Macaca mulatta: one gene and its partners. The main gene of each other region encodes a partner of the protein of the gene in region 2 in a complex. Links are inferred from orthologs where the notes say so. Each region holds a gene or a part of one and is shown on either strand. Other genes may lie near its edges.

What was found. Proteins that work in one complex are often made in the same cells at the same time.
Region 1: UPF3B (region 2) and MAGOH share a complex: the UniProt entries of both Homo sapiens proteins name them as parts of the mRNA splicing-dependent exon junction complex. The link is inferred for Macaca mulatta from reciprocal best matches to the Homo sapiens genes UPF3B and MAGOH.
Region 3: the proteins of UPF3B (region 2) and UPF2 are in contact, whole or in part, in a crystal structure (PDB 7NWU), measured with the Homo sapiens proteins. The link is inferred for Macaca mulatta from reciprocal best matches to the Homo sapiens genes UPF3B and UPF2. Residues at the interface, in NP_542199.1 of Homo sapiens: Lys52, Arg56, Arg57, Tyr79, Glu81, Phe83, Asn85, Asp86, Thr87, Ser88, Leu89, Tyr90, His92, Tyr94, Arg96, Tyr98, Ile130, Glu132, Pro135, Phe136, Lys138, Ala139, Ala140, Arg147, Asp148, Lys150, Val151, Gly152, Thr153, Ile154; in NP_056357.1 of Homo sapiens: Lys767, Arg768, Pro769, Pro770, Leu771, Glu773, Tyr774, Lys777, Lys790, Arg793, Gln794, Arg796, Lys797, Leu798, Pro799, Trp800, Gln801, Cys811, Ile814, Asn815, Trp817, Tyr837, Gln838, Glu839, Asp840, Ile843, His844, Val846, Asp847, Gly848.

Annotation. Positions count from the first base shown.
Region 1 is NC_133406.1:187,371,762-187,379,021, forward strand, and holds part of MAGOH (protein mago nashi homolog), read left to right. Parts: intron 1-1,763; coding exon 1,764-1,822; intron 1,823-3,695; coding exon 3,696-3,806; intron 3,807-7,260. UniProt on the Homo sapiens protein: Required for pre-mRNA splicing as component of the spliceosome. Plays a redundant role with MAGOHB as core component of the exon junction complex (EJC) and in the nonsense-mediated decay (NMD) pathway.
Region 2 is NC_133426.1:126,334,573-126,342,308, reverse strand, and holds the start of UPF3B (regulator of nonsense transcripts 3B), read left to right. Parts: upstream 1-2,910; 5' UTR 2,911-2,990; coding exon 2,991-3,146; intron 3,147-4,051; coding exon 4,052-4,158; intron 4,159-4,328; coding exon 4,329-4,435; intron 4,436-7,736. UniProt on the Homo sapiens protein: Involved in nonsense-mediated decay (NMD) of mRNAs containing premature stop codons by associating with the nuclear exon junction complex (EJC) and serving as link between the EJC core and NMD machinery.
Region 3 is NC_133414.1:13,574,802-13,582,061, reverse strand, and holds part of UPF2 (regulator of nonsense transcripts 2), read left to right. Parts: intron 1-3,822; coding exon 3,823-4,602; intron 4,603-7,260. UniProt on the Homo sapiens protein: Involved in nonsense-mediated decay (NMD) of mRNAs containing premature stop codons by associating with the nuclear exon junction complex (EJC).

The DNA of each region.
Region 1 (7,260 bases), on a different chromosome or scaffold from region 2:
CCCAGCTGTTCGGGAGGCTGAGACAGGATAATCGCTTGAACCTGGGGCGGAGGTTGCAGTGAGCTGAGATAGTGCCAGTGTACTCCAGTCTGGGTGACAGAGCGAGACTGTGTCACAAAAAAAAAAAAAAAAAAAAGATGTCGGTTGGGACTACAGAGATAGTAGAAATGGAGAGAAAGATTTAGGAAACTGTTGGAGGCAGAATCAACTGGACTTTGATCGTTGATAGGATTTTTTTGGCGGAGGCACTGTGGTGAAGGAAAGAGGAATCAAAGATGACAGAAAACATCCATTAAGCGGGCCACAAAGATGTATCTGACAGGCCCCGACTGTGAGGGAGATGGATTTGTAAGCAGGGACCAAACAGCGTATTAGGTGTTGTGGTAAAAAGAAACAGAGGAGACTTGCAGCAGAGAAGGGGCACCTAGCCAAGCCTGAGGGTCAGAGGAGGCTTCCTACATAAAATGATGGGAGGAGGGGATGTGAGGTATTGGTTAGGAGACCAAGAAGAGTCAAGAAGGCATTTTAGACAGCATGCAAAGAGGCTGAAAACCAAAAAGTGCTTGGGATGTTTCAGGCAGAAACCAAGTTGTTCGACTCCAGCTGTGTGAGAGAAGAATATTGCAGGAGTGAGGCTGGAAAAGCAGGCAGGGGCTTTGCTTAGCCGTATGCCATGTTGAGGAGTTTGGATTTTTTTTTTTTTTTTTTTTTTGAGATGGAGTCTTGCTCAGTTGCCCAGGCTGGAGTGCAGTGGCACGATCTGGGTTCACTACAAGCTCCGCCTCCCGGGTTCACGCTATTCTCCTGCCTCAGCCTCCTAGGTAGCTGGGACTACAGGCGCCCGCCACCACGCCTGGCTAATTTTTTACATTTTTAGTAGAGACGGGGTTTCACCGTGTTAGCCAGGATGGTCTCGATCTCCTGACCTCGTGATCTGCCCGCCTCGGCCTCCCAAAGTGCTGGGATTACAGGCGTGAGCCACCGCGCCCGGCCGGATTTTAACCAGGAAGGCAGCGGAAAGCCATTGACTTTATCAAAGTATTAGAGTAACCTAATCTGATAGATCTGTTACCACATCACCTTGTCCACTATATGGACAGTGAACTGAATGTGAAGAAACTTGAGGCAGAGAGACAGCACAGAGACCGTTGGAATAAATTCACTGGGCTCATCTCACATGTATGTCTTCTAGTCTACATGTCTTCTGTTTCCTTCTATCTTCTCCTCATCCCCACCATGTATTCACATTAACCTGTTAGACGCACACATGGACAAAGGGTCTTGTGTACCAAATGTGCTCAGTGATAAAAGCAACAACTTTTCCATCACAGAAATAGAGTGTGGCACAGTCACATGATAATATATGTAAACAGCATCCTACAGTTTTCAAAATGTTTTCACAACTCATTTGAGCCTCAGGAGGTCCTATGTGCTGGTAAGTTATCATTTACTCTGCCTGTTTTCAGGACATTCACCTGCAAAAATGTGATTCGACAAAGTCAGAAAAGAGCCTGCCTGTGTTTTTACCTCACCTGAGCTGCTTTTTGCAGTAGTTGAGTGTCAGCTGTATATTTGGCTGTTTAAGCCTGAAGTGAAGAACTGAAAGACTAGTATTGTTGAACTACCTTAAGAGTAAATAATAAATGTCTTAGACACTTTGAGCAAGTTGGATACATTTTAGGCAACTGCCGATAGTCTTGGTATGGTATTGATGCTTTATTCATGTTTTTATTATATGTTGAATTTGGCTTTTGTCCCCACAGGGAAGTTAAGATATGCCAACAACAGCAATTACAAGAATGATGTCATGATCAGAAAAGAGGTATGCCTTCTGAGAGGCCTTCATTTTCTACATTTCAGCTTTTTGTCTTGCATTGTTTTTGTTGTATCTAGTATTGAAAGGTAAAGAACAGGGAGAGAGACACATGTCTGTAGACAGCTTCTGGATTATTTCCCAAATCATCTTTTAGTTGGGATTTTTTTATTTTACAATGTGGAATCAATTACTGGTAACCATTGACATACCTTGGTTTGAACCCTGAGTCTGCTGCTTACTACCTCATGTGACAGTGGGCAAGTTCCTGGCTGAACTTGATTAAATCTCTGTTTCTTCACCTGCAAAAACAGGGAAAATAAAAGCTACCTCCCACTCCCAAGTGCTGTCATAAAATTAAATGTGTTATACTTAAAGTGCTCTATATATTCCCTGGCACATAGTACACAATGGAGAGCTATTTAATTTGCATCTGAGTGGGAAAGGGAGCATGGGAAAGCAGTTGATATCATTGAATGCATGTTAGATGTCAGGCATGGCATCTTATTTAACCCTGATTATAAGCCCATATGATGGGGGAGGGTATTATAGCCCCCTTACAAATAAGAAAATAAAGGCCCAGATATTAATTATGAGACTTGTTCAGAGTTACCCCTGCTAGTAAGAGATACAGCAGGAATTCCCAATTAAAGGAATTCCCCAGTAAAGTTTGTATTCTCCTCTCTGTGATTTCTACTACATCATTAAGGCTTCATCAAAGCTACTCTTTTAACCACTCTGCCACCTTTGAAAATGTCTTAGCATATATTTTTCATACTGTTGTTTTAGCTATCAGTTTCATGCTTATTCACACATGTCAACATTCTCACTATTTTTTTACACAGGCATATCTTTTCAAATACATTTTGCTCCTCAGGAGCGTATTACCTAGTTAAGAATAACTGGCCGGGCGCGGTGGCTCACGCCTGTAATCCCAGCACTTTGGGAGGCCAAGGTGGGCGGATCACGAGGTCAGGAGATGGAGACCATCCTGGCTAACACGGTGAAACCCCGTCTGTACTGAAAATACAAAAAAATATAGCCGTGGTGGTGGGTGCCTGTAGTCCCAGCTATTCAGGAGGCAGAGCGTGCAGTGAGTCGAGATTGCACCACTGCACCCCAGCCTGGGCCACAGAGTGAGACTCCGTCTCAAAAAAAAATAAACCAGGGCATGTAGGTGTTGCTGTCTCTTTTGTTTTGCTATAACAGAATACCTGAGACTGGGTAATTTTTAAGCCATAAAAATATATTTCTCACAGTTTTGGAGGCTGGGAAGTCCAAGATCAAGGCACTGGCAGGTTCAGTGTTTAGTGAGGGCCCAGTCTCTGCTTCCACAACTGTGCCTTGTTTTTGCATCCTCCAGAAGGGATGAATGCAGTGTTCTCATATGGTGAAAGAACAAGCAAGGGGCCAGCTAGTTCTCTTAAGCTGTCTCCTAAGGCACTAATCCTATCCATGGGGGCTCTGCCCTCAAGGCCCAATCAACTCTTAAAGGCCCTATCGATTAACACCGTTGCATTGGGGATTAATTTCAACATGAATTTTGGAGGAGACACAAAAATTCAAACCATAGCAGGGGGCATTCACAGATCTATTTTGGGTTTCTTTGTGAGTTGGCTGTGTGGACAGGCAGAAGGGCCATGTAAACAGGATGTACCAGGAGGTAGTAACAGCTAGATGGGGGACTGAGGTGCAGTTTATTAGATACTTCTGACCCTGTCCCTCACCTGCATCATGCCGAGGTTGAGCATGAATGTCTTCCCACTTAAGAAGATGCCAGAAATAAGTCTGCAGGAACAGTTATTTTTATCTTCCATCACTATCTGAGTCAAAGCACTGCTTAAGGATACAACATACATTTTGTCTTTTAACTTGCTTTCAGGCTTATGTACATAAAAGCGTGATGGAGGAACTGAAGAGAATAATCGATGACAGTGAAATTACCAAAGAGGATGATGCATTGTGGCCTCCTCCTGACCGAGTGGGCCGGCAGGTATGTTTTATTGATTATCCTGTAGTGCAGAAATCTTACAAATAAGATGAGGTTTAGTGCTCTGCATATGATAGTGAAACTGTGTGCATGTGTGTGTGATGGTGGTGGTGGTGGTGGTGGTCAGCCCTGCAGAAAGCAGATTGCCAGCACCTTGGTCTAAGGAAGCATTAATCCCACAGGAAGGAACAGAGAGAACAAGTGCTGCTGGCCACCAAGAACCCAGCCTTGAATTTCTTCTTAGGACCCCCCACACTCCCTCCTCCACTTAAAGCTTTTGCTGCCTATCTCATTTACTAACTACTATGGACAAAGCATTGTGGAGATACAAAGAAAAATAGAACATGATTATTTCACCAATCTAATGAAAGGAAAATCATACAAATAATTCAGTATATGTATTTAAATTCATGTGTATTTATATACATTATATATTCATTCCGAGCACCGTTTTGTTAACTAAAAAATAAAAGCCACTATCATATTGAACTGAATTAACAGAAAAGGTATTTTCACTCTGACTGCTACCATCCTAATCCAGACTTCTGGACTTCTAATAGGTTCCCTTGTTTTTCCTCTTGTTCCATACCATCCATTTTTCCATCCTGAAAGCCAATGTAATTTTTTTTTTTTTTTCGAGACGGAGTCTCGCTCTGTCGCCCAGACTGGAGTGCAGTGGCATGATCTCAGCTCACTGCAACCTCCACCTCCTGGGTTCAAGTGATTCTCCTGCCTCAGCCTCCCGAGTAGCTGGGATTACAGGCACACACCACCATGCCCAGCTAATTTTTGTATTTTTAGTAGAGATAGGGTTTCACCATGTTGGCCAGGCTGGTCTTGAACTCCTGACCTCAGGTGATCCGCCCACCTTGCCCTCCCAAAGTGCTGTGATTACAGGCGTGAGCTGCCGCGCCTGACCAGTGTGATCTTTAAAAATGTAAATTTGCTTATGTATTCCACTGATTTAAACTCCAATGGCTTCCCACTGTACTTAAAATTTAAACTCCCACCTTATCTTTTACCATGCTTCCAGTCTGTCATGGTGTTCAAACCTTACTAGCTTCATTTCTGTTCCTCAGAAATACCTAGGTGGTTCTTACTTCAGGGCCTTGGCACTTGCCACATTCTGCCTAAAATATTCTTCCTTTAACTCTGTACAAGACTCTCTCTATTATTGAGGTCTTCAAAAGTCGGTTCCTCGGTGATATCTTGCCTGTCCATTCAATCTAAGAAGTCTCTTCCCATCATTAAGAAAAAGATCTGTTGTGCTGTCTTTGTGTGTGTGTGTGTGTTTTCTTTTTGCTTTCAGTTTCATCACAATATGTGTTGTCTTTGTAGCACTTATTGTCTAAAATTGTCTTACTTGCTTTTCAATTTTTTCACTGCTATATCTCCAGTGACTAAAATAGTGCCCATGTATAGTAAAAGCCCAATAATAATTTGTTAAATTAACATGAAAACCCATATAAACTCATGCCTAATAACCTCAAAATGATGGACCAACCCTTCAAGAAGAGTTTTTTTAAAAAATCCTACCTTCAGTACTTACTAAAGTTAACTTTATGTTCAAGGAATCTCAGTAATATCATATATATGTATTTTGCTTTACCATTTATAAAATTTTTATTTCTGTTAGCTCGTTCAACCATCACAACAATTGTGTGAAGAGGGAAGGGCATATTCCTTTATACCAGCAATAAGCCATTGGTACTGTAATTAAAATCAATCCCATTAATAATTACAAGAAAAGTTAATAAAGAACTTGGGTATGCAATTAACAAGATGTACAAAACTTGAAAGGGCTTTATAGAAGGACAAAAATATGTATCGTTTTTGTGGATGGGAAGATTCAGTATCATATAGATGTCAGTTTTCAACAAAGTAATTTATAAATTCACTCTTAATTCAAATGAAAATCGCAGTAGGGTTTTTTCCCCTTAAAATCAAATAGAATAAGCATTAAATTCATGGAAAATCAGAGGCAAGAGTAGCCAAAATAATACTGGAGATTGCTTATAAAACTGTGGCCATTTATAGTATGATATTGCCTCGGGAATTGACAGCTAAACCAATGGAACAGCATAGACAGCCCAGAAACCAACTTATGAATATATGGAAACTTGGAACAGCGTACTACAGAGGTGGACTTTCACATTAATGGGAAAAGAATGAGTTATTTAACAAATTGTACCAGGACAGCTGACAATATATTTATGGAATGTTTTTAAATTAGGCTATAGAAATCAAAAATTTTAAACAGAATATAGACTATCTTTTATTATTTATGGATAGAGAAGGAGTTTTTAAAACTCCTTAAGGGGTAAGATTGGTAAATTTGACTTCTTTACAACTTAGGTTTGACAAAAGATGGCAAGATAAAGTTGAAAGATAAGCCATAGACTGGAAGAAGGTATCTGCAAAACATAAAACTGGCAAGAGTTTTCTATCCAGAATATATAAAGAATTAGAAAGTAATAAAAAGACAGTCCCGTGGCAGAATGTGGAAAGGTTATGAATAACTTACAAGATCAAACAAGTGGCTAATAAATGTGAAAAGATTTACAGCTTCATTTGTAAAATGAAAGAACAACAGTGAGATACCATTTCAGACCCATTAGAATAACAACAGAAAAAATCTGCCGAGTTTAAAAAATGATACGAGAAAAGAGTGAGAGTAAAATTAGTATAACTGCGTTAGGGAGTAATTTTGTGGTATCTGGGAACATTTAAAATACTAGGAATTATATGGAGACATTTTCACATATGTATAAGGAGATGTATAGAAGAATATTCTTGCTACATTGTTTATAGGAACAAAAATTCAGAACTTAAGTTTATTTCAGTAGGGAAATGGAATACTATAGCATTTAAAACTAATGAGCTAGATCTGTGTAACTCAACATTGATAAATCTCAAAAACAATGTGGAATGAAAAATGCAAAAAGTATGTATAATATGACCATTTTTGTAAAAATTTTACAACACACTACTACGTCTAGGCCAGGCATAGTGACGCATGCCTACATTCCCAGCACTTTTTTTCTAAATTGGGAGGCCAAGGTGGGAGGATGGCTTGAGGCCAGGAGCTCAAGACCAGCCTGAGCAGCACAGTGAGACCTTTTTTCTACAAAAAAAAAAAAAAAAAAAAAAAAAAACCCTAAAAATTAACTGGGCATGGTGGCGCATACCTGTAGTCTTAGCTATTCGGGAGGCTAAAGGTGCAGGATGGCATGAGCCCAGGAGCTCAGGGTTACAGTGAGCTATGATCCTACCACTGCACTTCAGCTTCAGTGACAGAGTGAGACCCTGTATCTAAAAAGAAGTAAGTGAAAACATACTACCAAACCTGAAACAAGAATGGAACAAATCAGGGGATACAGGAGGGAGAACAGAATGGGAGATAGACATAAATTTTGTAGTATTTTATTTCTTTTAAAAAAAAATCTGACACAAGTAT
Region 2 (7,736 bases):
GGGTTCACAAGCCAAGAAATACGGGCTGCCTCAAGAGTCTGAAAAAGACAAGGAAATCAATTATCTCCTAGAGCCTCCAGGAAGGAACTCAGTCCTGCCAACACTTTGATTTTAGCCTAGTGAGACCCATATTGGACTGCTTATTTATTTATTTATTTATTTTTACTTTTTTTTTTTTTTTGAGATGGAGTTTTGCTCTGTCACCCAGGTTGGAGTGCAGTGGTGCAATCTCACTGCAAGCTCCACTTCCTGGATTCACGCCATTCTCCTGCCTCAGCCTCCCGAGTAGCTGGGACTACAGGTGCCCACCACCACGCCTGGCTAATTTTTTGTATTTCTCGTAGAGACGGGGTTTCACTGTGTTAGCCAGGATGGTCTTGATCTCCTGACCTCGTGATCCCCCACCTCGGCCTCCCAAAGTGCTGGGATTACAGGTGTGAGCCACCGCGCTCAGCCTTACTATATTTTTTGCCCCCTCACAGGACAAACTTAAAACCTTGTTGGACTTTTAACCTACAGAACTGTAAGATAATACACTTGCGTTATTTAAACCCACTAAATTTGTGGTAATGTTACAGCAGGAATAGGAAGCTAATACAGTTGGTGTGGGGGAAGATCAAGTGTTCGGTTTTGGATGCATTCAGTGGCTGAACACGTTAGACGTCTTAAGTGGAGATGTTAAATAGGCAGTTGGATACATGACTCTGATGATTTCCAAGGCTCATAAGAATGGCCAGGTACTGAAAGAAAGAGTAACAGATCCCAAATACAGGGAAACAGTTTTGGCCACAGGAATAGGAATCCAAAAATAGGCTGGACAATTAGAGTGAAAAAATTTAAGTGCAGAGTCAGGGGAATATATTCTAGAGGTCAGCAAAAATGGGAGTTGGCCCTGAGGCAGCTTTCTGCCTTGGGCTCCTATTGCATCTTTACTTTGGTTTTTGTCCTCTATGGGTGTCTGTCTGTCTCTCTCTCTCTCTCTTTTTTTTTTTGAGATGGAGTCTCACTCTGTCACCCAGGTTGGAGTCCAGTGGTTCTACCTCGGCTCACTGCAATCTCCGCCTCCCAGGTTCAAGTGACTCTCCTGCTTCAGCCTCCCAAATAGCTGGGACTACAGGCGCCCGCCACCATGCCCAGCTAATTTTTGTATTTTAGTAGAGACAGGGTTTCACCAAGTTGGTCAGGCTGGTCTTGAACTCCTGATCTCAGGTGATCTGCCTGCCTCGGCCTCCCAAAGTGCTGGGATTACAGGCATGAGCCACCACGCCCAGCTAATTTTTTGTGTTTTTAGTAGAGACGGGGTTTCGCCAAGTTAGCCAGGCTGGTCTCGAACTCCTGACTTCAGGTGATCCATCCGCCTTGGCCTCCTAAATTGCTGGGATTATAGGCGTGAGCCACCACGTCCGGCCGACTGAAGTGCTTTCTATCATTGTGGTTTTACCTTTTCTAAAATTTCATATAAATGGAATTGTACAACATGTACTCTCTTGGTGTCTGGATTCTGTCACTCAACATAATCACTGTGAGATTCACTTATGTTGATGCGTATATCAATAGTTAATTTTTATTGCTGAGTGGCATTGCATTCTATGGCTGTACCATATTTTGTTTTATCCCTTTGCCTGTTGAGAACATTTGGATTGTTTCCAGTTTGGAGTTATTATAAATAATGTAAAATTGGCCCTTTTTAAGTGAAGAGGGTGATCACAACTAAATCAAATTGGGTTTTATTTTTATTCCCTTCCCTGTGGGACATCAGTACCTGGGGAGAATGATCCTTTTGTAAAATAAGGTGATGAAAACAAATCTCGTATATTTTGGTCATATTACTCCTTTTTTTTTTTTTTTTTTGAGACGGAGTCTCGCTCTGTCACCCGAGCTGGAGTGCAGTGGCCGGATCTCAGCTCACTGCAAGCTCCGCCTCCCGGGTTTACGCCATTCTCCTGCCTCAGCCTCCCAAGTAGCTGGGACTACAGGTGCCCGCCACCTCGCCCGGCTAGTTTTTTGTATTTTTTAGTAGAGACGGGGTTTCACCGTGTTAGCCAGGATGGTCTCGATCTCCTGACCTCGTGATCCGCCCGTCTCGGCCTCCCAAAGTGCTGGGATTACAGGCTTGAGCCACCGCGCCCGGCCCATATTACTCCTTTAAATATCAGTATCTTGTGTTTATTTATTATTATCCTTCTTTTTTAGATACAGGGTCTCGCTCTGTCGCCCAAGCTGGAGTGCAGTGGCGCGATCATGGCTCACTGCAGCCTCGAATTCCTGGGCTCAAGATCCTCCCTTCTCAGCCTTCCCTAGCAGCTGGGAATACAGGCGCGCGCCACTGAACTCGGCTAATATTGTAGTGTTTACTAAGTATCTGTAAATCCTAATCAATATAAGGAAAATAAATTTTTTTAAATGTTAGGCTCTTTCTTTGAGTTGTAGGAAAATAAATTCTAAAGCCTCTGAATTCAAAGACAAAATATACAAGTCGCTCCCCTAGTGAGGCAAAATTTGGACGGCATTGAGTTTATCCGATGGAAACTAAGCGTGCAGAACGTATCTTTCGACCTGAAAAACTCTGAAGATGAAAGGATTCGATTTACTTACAAACAGGGACCCTGAGATACCTCTGGCTCCTGAACGCCCAACAAAAGCGGGCAGCTGCTTTGCATGCCGGGACTTGTAGTCCCCGACAGAGTCACTTCAAGATGGCGGAGTTGCTAATGACGCGCGAAGGGGCGGGCCCAGAGGGAGTCTGCGCCGCGAGGGGATTGGGTGACACAGGAACTTGGCGGGCGGGAAGTAAAAACCAGGTGTTAAAACCTTTGCACTGGGAAAGGCCCAAGTCTCGCGAGAGCTTGGCAGGCCCCAGTGGAACGTGGGGCCCGACTTATCATAAGGGGCATTTGTTGGGGGCGGAGCTTTGACGGGAGCTTCCCTGGAGCCGTTGGTGCCCGGGGTAGCCCCGTTCCGGCCGAGCCGCTTCAGCGGGGGACGTAGCCATGAAGGAAGAGAAGGAGCACAGGCCTAAGGAGAAGCGAGTAACCTTGTTAACCCCCGCCGGGGCCACAGGCAGCGGTGGTGGGACCTCGGGGGACAGCTCCAAGGGGGAAGATAAGCAGGATCGCAACAAGGAGAAGAAAGAAGCGCTGAGCAAGGTGCCCGGTCGGCCGCTGGCCCGGGAGAGGGCGGGACGGGTCCGCAGCGCGGGGAGGATGGCTGGGAATGGGGCCGGCCCCTTTCTCTCTCAGGTTCCCCTTCTTCTCTTCGCCTGAATGGAAGTCGCACCATCCTGGTTTATCCTTTCTCCCGAAATGGGGAGAGCCCCTCCCGGCCAAATCCTGGGTAGGGGTGAGGAAAAGGGGGGACTCCCCAAACGGGAAGGGTTTAGGTCAGAGCTGTGAGGTGATAATGGGAAGAGAGAGCGACGGTATAAAGAATGAGGAACTAAAGGTGTAATTGGGGAGAAATATTAAATACTGAAGGAGACATGAGGGATGGCAATATTATTCATGGAGGCGAGTTGGGGGAGAGTTCAGGGTGATTAATGGTACGGGAGGGTAGATCGAGAGCATACTATTTTGAGAGCAATGGGTGGATTTTTTGTATTCGTTAGAGTTTTGAATTCTTAAGTTCAATGGGCAAGGATTTTGTTTTAAGATGTGTTGGACGTGGGAGAAACTTGTTACTAAATCAAGATTTCGTGGCACCCACAAAGACCAGGGTTGGCTTACTAATTTCTTGCCACTAGATCTGTTAAAAAATGGGTGATCGAAAATGATGCACAAACCTGGTAAACTGCAGGGCTGCTGTAAAGAGCAAAACCTGAGATTTTTCCCTGCTCCAGGTGGTTCTCATTTCCAAGCGTTTTTTTTTTTTTTTTAACCGCGTTACTATTATCTTTGACTACTTCTGAGCATTGGGCTGCAGAATATTTTCTCCTGGGTTTTTACAAGTGATCTCATATTTTAAAAAGCCCAGTCTTCTTCAGGAACTGTGATTCTTTCAGGTATGAGAGAAAATTGATTTTTACTAATTTTATTTTCCTTATGCATTTCTTAAGGTGGTAATTCGAAGATTACCTCCCACTTTGACCAAGGAGCAGCTTCAGGAACATCTTCAACCTATGCCTGAGCATGATTATTTTGAGTTTTTTTCTAATGATACGAGGTAAAAAAAAAAAAAAAAAAAAAGGAAAGGGGTAAATGAAAAAGGTTTCTTTCACTCTTTTTATCCTACTGTTTTCCATTTAATTTTTGAGCTTGTCTTTAATATATGCATACTTGTAATTGGGCCAGACACCTGCAAATACATTTACATAATTGCTTTCCTCTCTGCAGTTTGTATCCTCATATGTATGCCAGAGCATACATCAACTTTAAAAACCAAGAGGACATTATTTTGTTCAGGGATCGCTTTGATGGTTATGTATTCCTTGACAATAAAGGTGAGTTCTGGTAACTGAAATAAAAAGGGAATTTCTTTGTCATTCTTTGTCATTTGTATGTTTAAGACAGTGTGTGCATTGCGTTGCTTCCTGGGTGATAAAATGTGCAACATTTAAGTAAAGAGTTTTACACATTTGATAAGCTTGTTGCAGTCTTATAAATAGACATGTGACTTTTCACAGTCCTTGGTTACTTTTATTAACTTACTATTTTTTTAATTTGATCAACTGAGTGAAATTGCAACTGTTTTCTCCTCGTGTGACAAATTTTTTGCCCTGGCTTAAACCTGCTGTTTTGACTATAGAGTTTCAGCTGCAGTACTGATAAGTGACTCTTAAACTTGTTTGATAAATTTTAAATATTTACTTCTTATTTTGCTTCAAAGACAAACATTTATTTAATTCAAATCCATTAAGCCAACAGTTCCCAGTTGGGATACTGTTGAACATTCTCACAAAGTTGTATATAATTAAAACATGAAACTTGATACATTGGCCGAGCACGGTGGCTCACACCTGTAATCCCAGCACTTTGGGAGGCCGAGGCGGGCAGATCACGAGGTCAGGAAATCGAGACCATCCTGGCTAACACAGTGAAACCCCGTCTCTACTAAAAATACAAGAAATTAGCCGGGCATGGTGGCGGGTGCCTGTAGTCCCAGCTACTCGGGAGGCTGAGGCAGGAGAATGGCGTGAACCCAGGAGGCGGAGCTTGCAGTGAGCGGAGATCGCGCCACTGCACTCCAGCCTGGGCGACAGAGCAAGACTCCGTTCCAAAAAAAAAAAAAAAAAAACTTGATACATCTCGGCCCGGTGCGTGGCTCTCGCCTGTAATCCTGTAATCCCAGCACTTTGGGATGCCGAGGCAAGTGGATCACGAGGTCAGGAGATCGAGACCAGCCTGGCCAACATGGTGAAACCCCGTCTCTACTAAAAATACTAAAAAAAATTAGCCGAACGCGGCGCCTGTAATCCCAGCTACTCAGGAGGCTGAGGCAGAAGAATCGCTTGAACCCGGGAGGCAGAGATTGCAGTGAGCCAAGATCACGCCACTGCACTCCAGCCTGGCGACAGAGCCAGACTCTGTCTCAAAAAAAAAAAAAAAAAAAAAAAAAACCTTGATACTTCTCTTACTTTATATCTAGAAAGGTCCAGTCTATAGGCAAGACACATTTCTGCTTTAACACTCTATTATATGCTACCTACAACATTTAGCCAGAGAATGTCTAAGCTGCCATTTGCCACTTTTCTTTTTGGTTTGCAATTATAGGTAAATAGTGTGTCTTCTTGTTTAGTTTTGTTTTTTTCAATATTCCTTCAAAGTTGGTAAAAATTAAATTTTTGTCAGGGACTATGCCAGTAAAAATTGAAGGATTGCCAGTGTTTGTCCAACTTTTATTAATCTCCCCAAGCCAGCTATTTTTCCACTCCAACTATTTTATTCCAGTAGATATTTAACTAGATTCTAGTTACTTAGCCTGGAAATCTGAGTTGTGTTTAATTTTTTCCTTTTTTAAAATCTCTTACATGTAAGTTATGAATCTTGTCAATTTATTGTTTATCTTTTGAGACAGGGTCTCCACCCAGGTTGGAGTGCTGTGCCGCAATCATAGCCCACTGCAGCCTGGAATTCCTGGACTCAAGCAACCCTCCCACCTCAGCCTCCTGAGTAGCTGGGACTACAGACGCGTGTCACCATGCCTGGCTAATTTTCTTTAAATTTTTTTATAGAGCTGGGGTCTTGCTATGTTACCCAGGCTGGTCTTGAACTCCTGGGTTCAAGTGATCCCCCCACCTCAGCCTCCCAAAGTGCTGGGATTACAGGTGCAGGCCACCGTACCGAGCCCAACACCACTTATTAAAGAGACTATCCTTTCCCCATTGTGGTTTTTGTTTGTTCATTTGTTTTGTTTTGTTTTTAAATCTTAAAGACAAGGTCTACTTATATTGCCCAGGCTGGATTTTATTGTTTTTTTTAATATCTTGTTCACCTAGACTTTCAGTCACACTTTATGTTCTCATCATTTAATGTCTAGACAACCACTGTCTCTAAACTTACAGGATTTTCCATTTTTCCCATTCTTGTATAATTCAGTCTATTATATTGCCATGAAATTAATCTTTTTGAAAATAATGATTTAAACTAACGGTTGGGGGAAAAAAGTCCAAACTCCTTAGCCTGGTAGTCAGGGTCCTCCATATTCTGGCCTCACTTCTGTTTCTTCAGCCTGTCTTCCACAATTTCCCTCTGTTTCAGTCTGGTTTATCTATTCCTTCTCAAATATATTTTGGTTTTTGGTTTGTATTTTTGTTTTTTTCATTTTCTTTCCTTTTTTCTTTTCTTTTTTTCTTTTTTTTTTTTTTTTTTTTTTGAGACAGACCCTTACTCTGTCACCCAGGCTAGAGTACAGTGGCACAATCTTGGCTCATTACAACCTCCACCTCCTGGGTTCAAGCAATTCTCGTTCCTCAACCTGTCGACTTAGCTGGGATTACAGGTACGTGCCACCACACCCAGCTAATTTTTGTAATTTTAGTAGGGATGGGGTTTTACCATGTTGACCAGGCTGGTCTCGAACTCCTGGCCTCAAGCAATCCACTCGCCTCAGCCTCCCAAAGTGCTGGAATTACAGGCATGAGCCACCATGCCTGGCCTAATATATCACAGTTTTGAAGCTAATCTGATTCTGTACTCACTGGGATTCCCAACATAATTTTTCCTTTATGACTGCTTTGCAGTGCCTTCTGGTCAATTCTATTTATTTTTATTTTTTTTCTTATGTCTATATGCCAGTGATTTAAGGATAGGATACCTTGTTTTTGACATTCTGTGACAGGGTGCTTGTGAATTTTTTTCCCATTAGTCACTTGAGGGTTTTGTATTGAAATATAACTCACCTATAGTAAAATTTATCCTCTTAAAGCGTACAATTCAGTGGTTTCTGGTATATTCACAAAGTAGTACAACCATCAGTACTAATTCCAGAATGTTTTCATCCCTCCAAAAAGAAACCCATATCTATTAGTAGTTACCTCCCATTCTCTCCCTCCAGCCCCTGGCAACCACTAATCTACTTTATGTATCTATGATTTCCCTCCATTTCATATAAATGTAATCATACAATATGTGGTCTTTTCTGACTGGCTTTTTTTTACCTAGCACGATGTTTTCAAGGTCCATCCATGTTGTAACATATAACATGTCATTATCTCATTCCTTCTGCTTTTTTTTTTTTTAACGGAGTCTCGCTCTGTAGCCCAGGCTGGAGTGCAGTGGCACGATCTCGGCTCCCTGCAAGCT
Region 3 (7,260 bases), on a different chromosome or scaffold from region 2:
TTTTTTTTTAAATTTAAGAGGGCAACTTACCTTTTTTAAGCTTCATTTTGTGGATCTCTAAAATGAGGCTCGTAGAATTTAACTTCATTGGTACTGTGTTAGGGATATTTGCTAATGTATTTTTACAGTGCCTGGTAACATAATAAGAGCTCAACAAACTCCAGCCAGGCTGGAGTGTAGTGGTGTGACGGCAGCTCACTGCAGCCTTGACCTCCCAGGCTCAAGCCATTCTCCCACCACATCCTCCTTGATAGTGGGGACTACAGGTGCATGCTACCACACCTGGGTATTTTTGTACTTTTTGTAGATAGAGTTTCACCGTGTTGCCCAGGCTGGTCTTGAACTCTTGGACTCAAGAAGTCCTCCTGCCTCAGCCTCCCAAAATTTTGGGATTATAGGCATGAGCCACCATGTCTGGCCTAAAATAATCATTTTTTGGAAATGATGTCTTGCTATTTTGTCTAAGTCTGTAATTGCTGAGCTCAAGCGATCCTCCCACTACAGCCTCCCTAGTAGCCGGAACTACAGATGTACACCACTGTGTGTGGCCAGATATATAATTTAAAAAGCTTTTTGCAAGCACGATTTTGTATAGATCTCTAGAACAGCCACCTTTCTTCTCAGAGTTGTTCTTTAGAACTTCTGCTTTCTTCCCTTTTTTGTGGGGGTGATGGGGGCATTGCTGTGTTGTTACCCAGGCTGGAGTGCAGTGGCTGTTCTCAGGTTCCATCATAACGTACTGCAGCCTCCAACTCCTGGGCTCAAGTGATTCCTCCTGCCTCAGCCTCCTGAGTATCTGTCATTACAGGCTTGTGCCACCAGTCCTGGCCAGGACCTCTACTTTTAATAAGGAACAGAAGCCTTAGGTCTGCAAGACTATAGTAGTGCCTAGTTTTGGAATATTCAGAACCATGATTCTTGAGAGATTTTTTTTTTTTTTGAGACAGGGTTTGCTCTATCGCCCAGGCTGGAGTACAGTGGCCCGGTCTCAGCTCACTGCAGTCTGTGCCTCCTGGGCTCAAGCGATCCTCCCACCTCAGCCTCCTGAGTAGCTGGGACTACAGATGCATACCACTACGCTTGGTTAATTTTTGTATTTTTTGTAGAGACGGGGTTTTGCTGTGTTGCCCAGGCTGGTCTTGAACTCCTGAGCTCCTGGGGAAATTTCAGATATATGCAAAAATAGAGGAGTATAGTGAACTAGTCCCTCATCTACCTAGCATCAATAATTACACACTTTCTCCCCCTGGAGTATTTTAAAGCATCATAGCATTTACCCATAAAAACTTCATTATACATCTTAAAGTGTTTTCAGTGCAGCTGAAAATTGAGTTATTTAATGTATGTACGTACTTTCTTTTCTTTCTTTCTTTTTTGAGAGAGTTTTGCTCTTGTTGCCCAGGCTGAATACAATGGCACGATCTCGGCTCACCCCAACCTCCGCCTCCCGGTTGAAGCCATTCTCCTGCCTCAGCTTCCTGAGTAGCTGTGACTACAGGCATGTGCCACCACACCCAGCTAATTTTTGTATTTTTAGTAGAGATGGGGTTTCTCCATGTTGGTCATGCTGATCTCGAACTCCTGACCTCAGGTGATCCACCCATCTTGGCTTCCCAAAGTGCTGGGATTACAGGCGTGAGCCACCACACCCGGCCTTGTACATACTTTCTTAAAATGTACTTTCACTGCTCATTTTGTATTTGTGTGTTGCTGGGAGACTTCAAAGAGATACTCAACTGTCCATGTTATCAGTGATAGAGGCCACCTTTCTGTTAATATATTGTAGTTTTTAGTGGAAAAATCAAGTAATTATCTTGTAACTCAGGGGTGATTATCTCAGAAAGATGAAAATCTACTTTTTTAGAGATTTATAGATATGTGTATAATTTTTTGAGACAGGGCCTCACTCTGTCACCTAGGGTGGAGAGCTATGGTGTGATCATGACTCACTGCAGCTTCAACCTCCCTGGCTCAAGCGATCCTCCCGTCTCAGCCTCCCAAGTAACTGGGACTACAAGCCTGTGCCACCACGTCCAGCTAATTTTTTAAATTTTTTGTAGAGATTGGGTCTCACTCTGTTGCCCAGTCTGATCTTAACTCCTGGGCTCCTCCCACCTCAGCTTCCCAAAGGGGAGATTTAAGTTATATATTTTGTTATCTCAAAAACTTCAATAAACTTCAAAATCATATTGTTTGTCACCCCTCACTCCTGCCTATTTTATTACTTCTGCAATTTAAATTGTTCTGTCTTTTTAGAGGAAAAATAGGTATATTTGTTTTTAGTTATTTTTTTCAGTATAAACTGAGTCTACTAGCTTTTTATTAAAAGTTTCTTATTTGATAGTTGTCTTCTGGTTCCTTTCCAAATTTTCTAAATCACTTGAATTTTTAAGAGTCCAAACCTGGCAAGGTAGTTTGTTAAAGGTTTGGCTAATGTGCTGAGTATGGAAAAACAATATCTAACATTTCAAAACTTTTTTTTTTTTTGAGATAGAGTCTCACTCTGTTGCACAGGCTGGAGTGCAGTGGCATGATCTTGGCTCATAGCAACCTCTGCCTCCTGAGTTCAAGTGATTCTCCTGCCTCAGCCTCCCGAGTAGCTGGGACTACAGGCGCGTGCCACCATGCCTTGCTAATTTTTTGTTGTTTTTAGTAGAGATGAGGTTTCACCATGTTAGCCAGGATGTGTCGATCTCCTGACCTTGTGATCTGCCTGACTCGGCCTCCCAGAGTGCTAGGATTACAAGTGTGAAGCCACCGCCCAGCCTCAAAAACATTTTTAATGCGTTCTTTTATAGTACTAATTCTTTTTTTTTTTTTTGAGACAGAGTCTCACTCTGTTGCCCAGGTTGGAGTGCAGTTGCGTGATCTTGGCTTACTGCAGCATCAGCTTCCGACTCCCAGGTTTAAACAATTCTCCTGCCTCAGCCTCCCAAGTAGCTGGGATTACAGGCGCCCACCACCATGCCCAGCTGATTTTTGTGTTTTTAGTAGAGACGGGGTTTCACCATGTTGGCCAAGCTGTTCTCAAACTCCTGACCTCAGGTGATCCACCTGCCTCCCAAAGTGCTGCCTCCCAAAGTCACCATACCTGGCCTTGTAGTGCTAATTCTTTAAAGAATTCTTTGTGGATTTTTTTTTTCTCTTTGCCCATTGCTTTTATTTGTTTCACATTTTATATCCTTCCCAAACATACTATATTTTTCATAGTAGCATTATATGTCTTACCTAGTTAACTTGCCAGTTGGCAGAATGATTTTTAATTTAATCTAGTCAGTATCCTCCGCTCTATGACATTTGTTATCAACCTACAGTACTGGGCTTCTCATTAAGATAATACTTGTTAGCGTAAGTCATTAGTAAAATGTGTTTATTTATTTATTTATTTTGAGACGGAGTCTTGCTCTGTCGCCCAGGCTAGAGTGCAATGGCACCTTCTTGGCTTACTGCAACCTCTGTCCCCTGGGTTTAAGTGTTGTGCCTCAGCCTCCTGAGTAGCTGGGACTACAGGTGAGCGCCATCACACCCAGCTAATTTTTGTATTTTTAGTAGAGATGGGATTTCACCATATTGGCCAGGCTGGCCTTGAACTCCTGACCTCAGGTGATCTGTTTGCTTTGGTCTCCCAAAGTGCTGGGATTACAGGCATGAGCCACCACGCCCGGCCAGTAAAATGTCTTTAAAAGTAGTGAAAGGCCTTTTGAATCTTGTAGATTATTATACTTAGATAATTTTTTTCACTGGTTTTTTACTCGTAGGGGATTTGTGTATAATGCTTCAAAATATAGAGAGTATTTTATGTATTTGTTTGTTTTTATATAGAGAAAAAGAAGAATCCGTTCAGCTTCATCAGGAAGCTTGGGAACGACATCATTTAAGAAAAGAACTTCGTAGCAAAAACCAAAATGCTCCGGACAACCGACCAGAGGAGAACTTCTTTAGCCGCCTTGACTCAAGTTTGAAGAAAAATACTGCTTTTGTCAAGAAACTAAAAACTATTACGGAACAACAGAGAGACTCCTTGTCCCATGATTTTAATGGCCTAAATTTAAGCAAATACATTGCAGAAGCTGTAGCTTCTATTGTGGAAGCAAAACTGAAAATCTCTGATGTGAACTGTGCTGTGCACCTCTGCTCTCTCTTTCACCAGCGTTATGCTGACTTTGCCCCATCACTTCTTCAGGTCTGGAAAAAACATTTTGAAGCAAGGAAAGAGGAGAAAACACCTAACATTACCAAGTTAAGAACCGATTTGCGTTTCATTGCAGAATTGACAATAGTTGGGATTTTCACTGACAAGGAAGGTCTTTCCTTAATCTATGAACAGCTAAAAAATATTATTAATGCTGATCGGGAGTCCCACACTCATGTCTCTGTAGTGATTAGTTTCTGTCGACATTGTGGAGATGATATTGCTGGACTTGTACCAAGGAAAGTAAAGAGTGCTGCAGAGAAGTTTAATTTGAGTTTTCCTCCTAGTGAGATAATTAGTCCAGAGAAACAACAGCCCTTCCAGAATCTTTTAAAAGAGTACTTTACGTCTTTGACCAAACACCTGAAAAGGGACCACAGGGAGCTCCAGAATACTGAGAGACAAAACAGGTGATTTTCAAATGTTTCTCAGAGTTGAGAATTTATTTTTGGAGCTCATACTTAAAAATGTTTAAAGTCTTCATGCCACTGAAAGAACTTATGGAAAAGGGCTCCTTACAGGTGATTTCTTAACATTCCAGGAAAATTTCAAAGTAGAACAGTCTGAGTACTCATGTTTTAATGTGAGTCTACAATAGATTTTGTTTCTGATTTAAAAAAAAAATCTGCCAAGTAGATGGTGATTTTCACCTTGTGAATGTGTATTCTTCCTGTGATTTTAAACACTACTTAATAATTGAGGGATAAATTTTCCTTTTCTGTCACTTAAACTTACCTGCTAATATTTTTCTGTGTGCTTTAATGTTCTCTTTATAACAGGTTTGCTTTCATTGTTTTGTATTTTAAGTTCTTTATGTCACTGTTGCTCTTCTTAAGAAAATGAGTCATTAATTACCAGTGGTATTTCAGATTAGAGTTTTGGAAAATAATGCACAAAATAAGCTATGAAAAATTTCTTAAATGCAACTTCAAAACTCATTCGTAGGAGTCTTCTTCCTTGGGGCATTCATTTAAAATTCTAAATGAGGAACGTACTGTGCCTGTGGTAATTGGTGAAAAGACCTGACTTTGGGGCCAATTTTGATTGTTAAAAGGTATTGTAGGCTAGTGTGTAGTATTTGTACCTGAGAAGCAACAGGAAGCTAGAAGTTGATGGAGTTGCTGGGCATTAGGTCAATTTCTGTGGAGGATGGATTTGGAGGGGGGCTGAGGGGGTGTAGAAATAAGGTAATAGCCATAGCACGTGGCTGAGTATTAAACTATTTTAATATTTCTACAACTATATTGCATGGTTGAGAATCTGAAATTACTGTTGATCAGAAATTTGTATAGGAGAATATCCTTTTCTAGTTTCATAAGTCTGTGGTAGGGGAGGAGTGGTTTAAGTAGTTAGCGCTAGAAGATGATTGACTTAACCAGAAGACTGAACAGGAATAGTGTATGCCAGTAGTACAGTTAGGGCAGGGTCAAGGTAGAGACTTGTGGCTGAAGGTAGAGACTTGTGGTTAAATCTTTGTGGCTGAAGGTCACTCAGAGGTGAGAATTTTAGATGGCAATGGTGTTATCAATAGTTCTTTTAGGAAAAAGAAAAAGGCTTATCCTTATTTTGTGTTTTGATTTGCGAGGACTGGTTTAAACTTTGAAGAGGCAACCTGAGAATGTACTTGTACCATCAGTAATGGACTAAAAAGGATTATGGTGGTGCTTTATTCATACTTCTCACTTACTGAGGGCTTCCTAATTATGATTTCCATATGCTTTGTCAGTTTCATAGTCCTTTCCTCATACATTCTACTTAATATATCATAACTGATGATTTGTAAGTATGCTAATAGTATGCTAATGATTGATTAGTTATTGGCTACTTTGAGGGTGTATGTGTGTGTATTTGCTTTTGATTGGACTCAGAATCTTGGAGAGTGAAGAGATTCTATGATGTTTTAATCCAATCCATTAACCTTTCCGAAGTAGGAAAACATTTTATAGATTATCTAACAGATAAGATTATTTTTCCTCTGAATACTTCCCAAAGGAGCTCAGTTCTGTCTGTGCCATTGCACTGTTGGTAACACTTATGGGCTAGGAATTCTTTTGTTACATCAAGTGGAAATTTAACTTACCACAAAATGGTTCACTTTGATTTGGTTCTTTTTTCTAGTATGGATGGAATACAGGTACTTGAAGTAGGAGATCTATGAACTTTTTACCTGTTCATAATGAATGAAATACAGAAAGTGAGAGTGAGCACTTAGAAATTATTATAGGAATTTTCAGGCTGGGCATGGTGGCTCACACCTGTAATCCCAGCACTTTGGGAGGTCAAGGCGGGTGTGTCGCCTGAGGTCAGGAGTTCTAGACCTGCCTGGCCAACGTGGTGAAACCCCATCTCTACTAAAAACGCAAAAATTAGCTGGGCATGGTGGCAGGCCCCTGTAATCCCAGCTACTTGTAGGGGCCTGAGGCAGGAGAATCGCTTGAACCCGGGAGGCAGAGGTTGCAGTGAGCTGATATTGCGCCATTGCCCTCCTGCCTGGGGGATAAGAGTGAGACTTCGTCCCCGCCCCGCCCCCAAAAACAAGGTTTATAGGAGTTTTCAATGGTCATAGTATTCCTACTATATTTTTACGGAAGTGTCCAATGGTTGGGGATGGAAAGGTGGCCCTTTACCACAGATGGTTTGGGGAACACTGGTAGAGGACATACTTGTCCACTTTTATTCCCATGACAGTATCTCAGATATTCACAGACTGCTGTGATGTTTCCCTTTTCTCTTCTCTATGTTAAATACCTCCAGTTCTTTCAGTTTGCGCCATGATTTCCAGACACTTCACTATGCTTAGGATACTTGTTTTGGATGCATTCTTTTCTATCTGTGACCTAAAATTGCCTTCGTTTTTATAGCTACCTTGTCGTTCTTTTGGTTTTTGTTAAACTTATTTGCACTAAAGCTTTATTTCTCATATGAACTGCTGACAAGCCACTTCTTCACCTTAAACTAGTGAAATACAGTTTTTAAAGCCTAAATGTGTACTTGCTTATCTCTATTAAACTTTATTTAGATGCTTTTGGTATATTATTTTAGCTTTATGAATGCTTTGGATATTGATT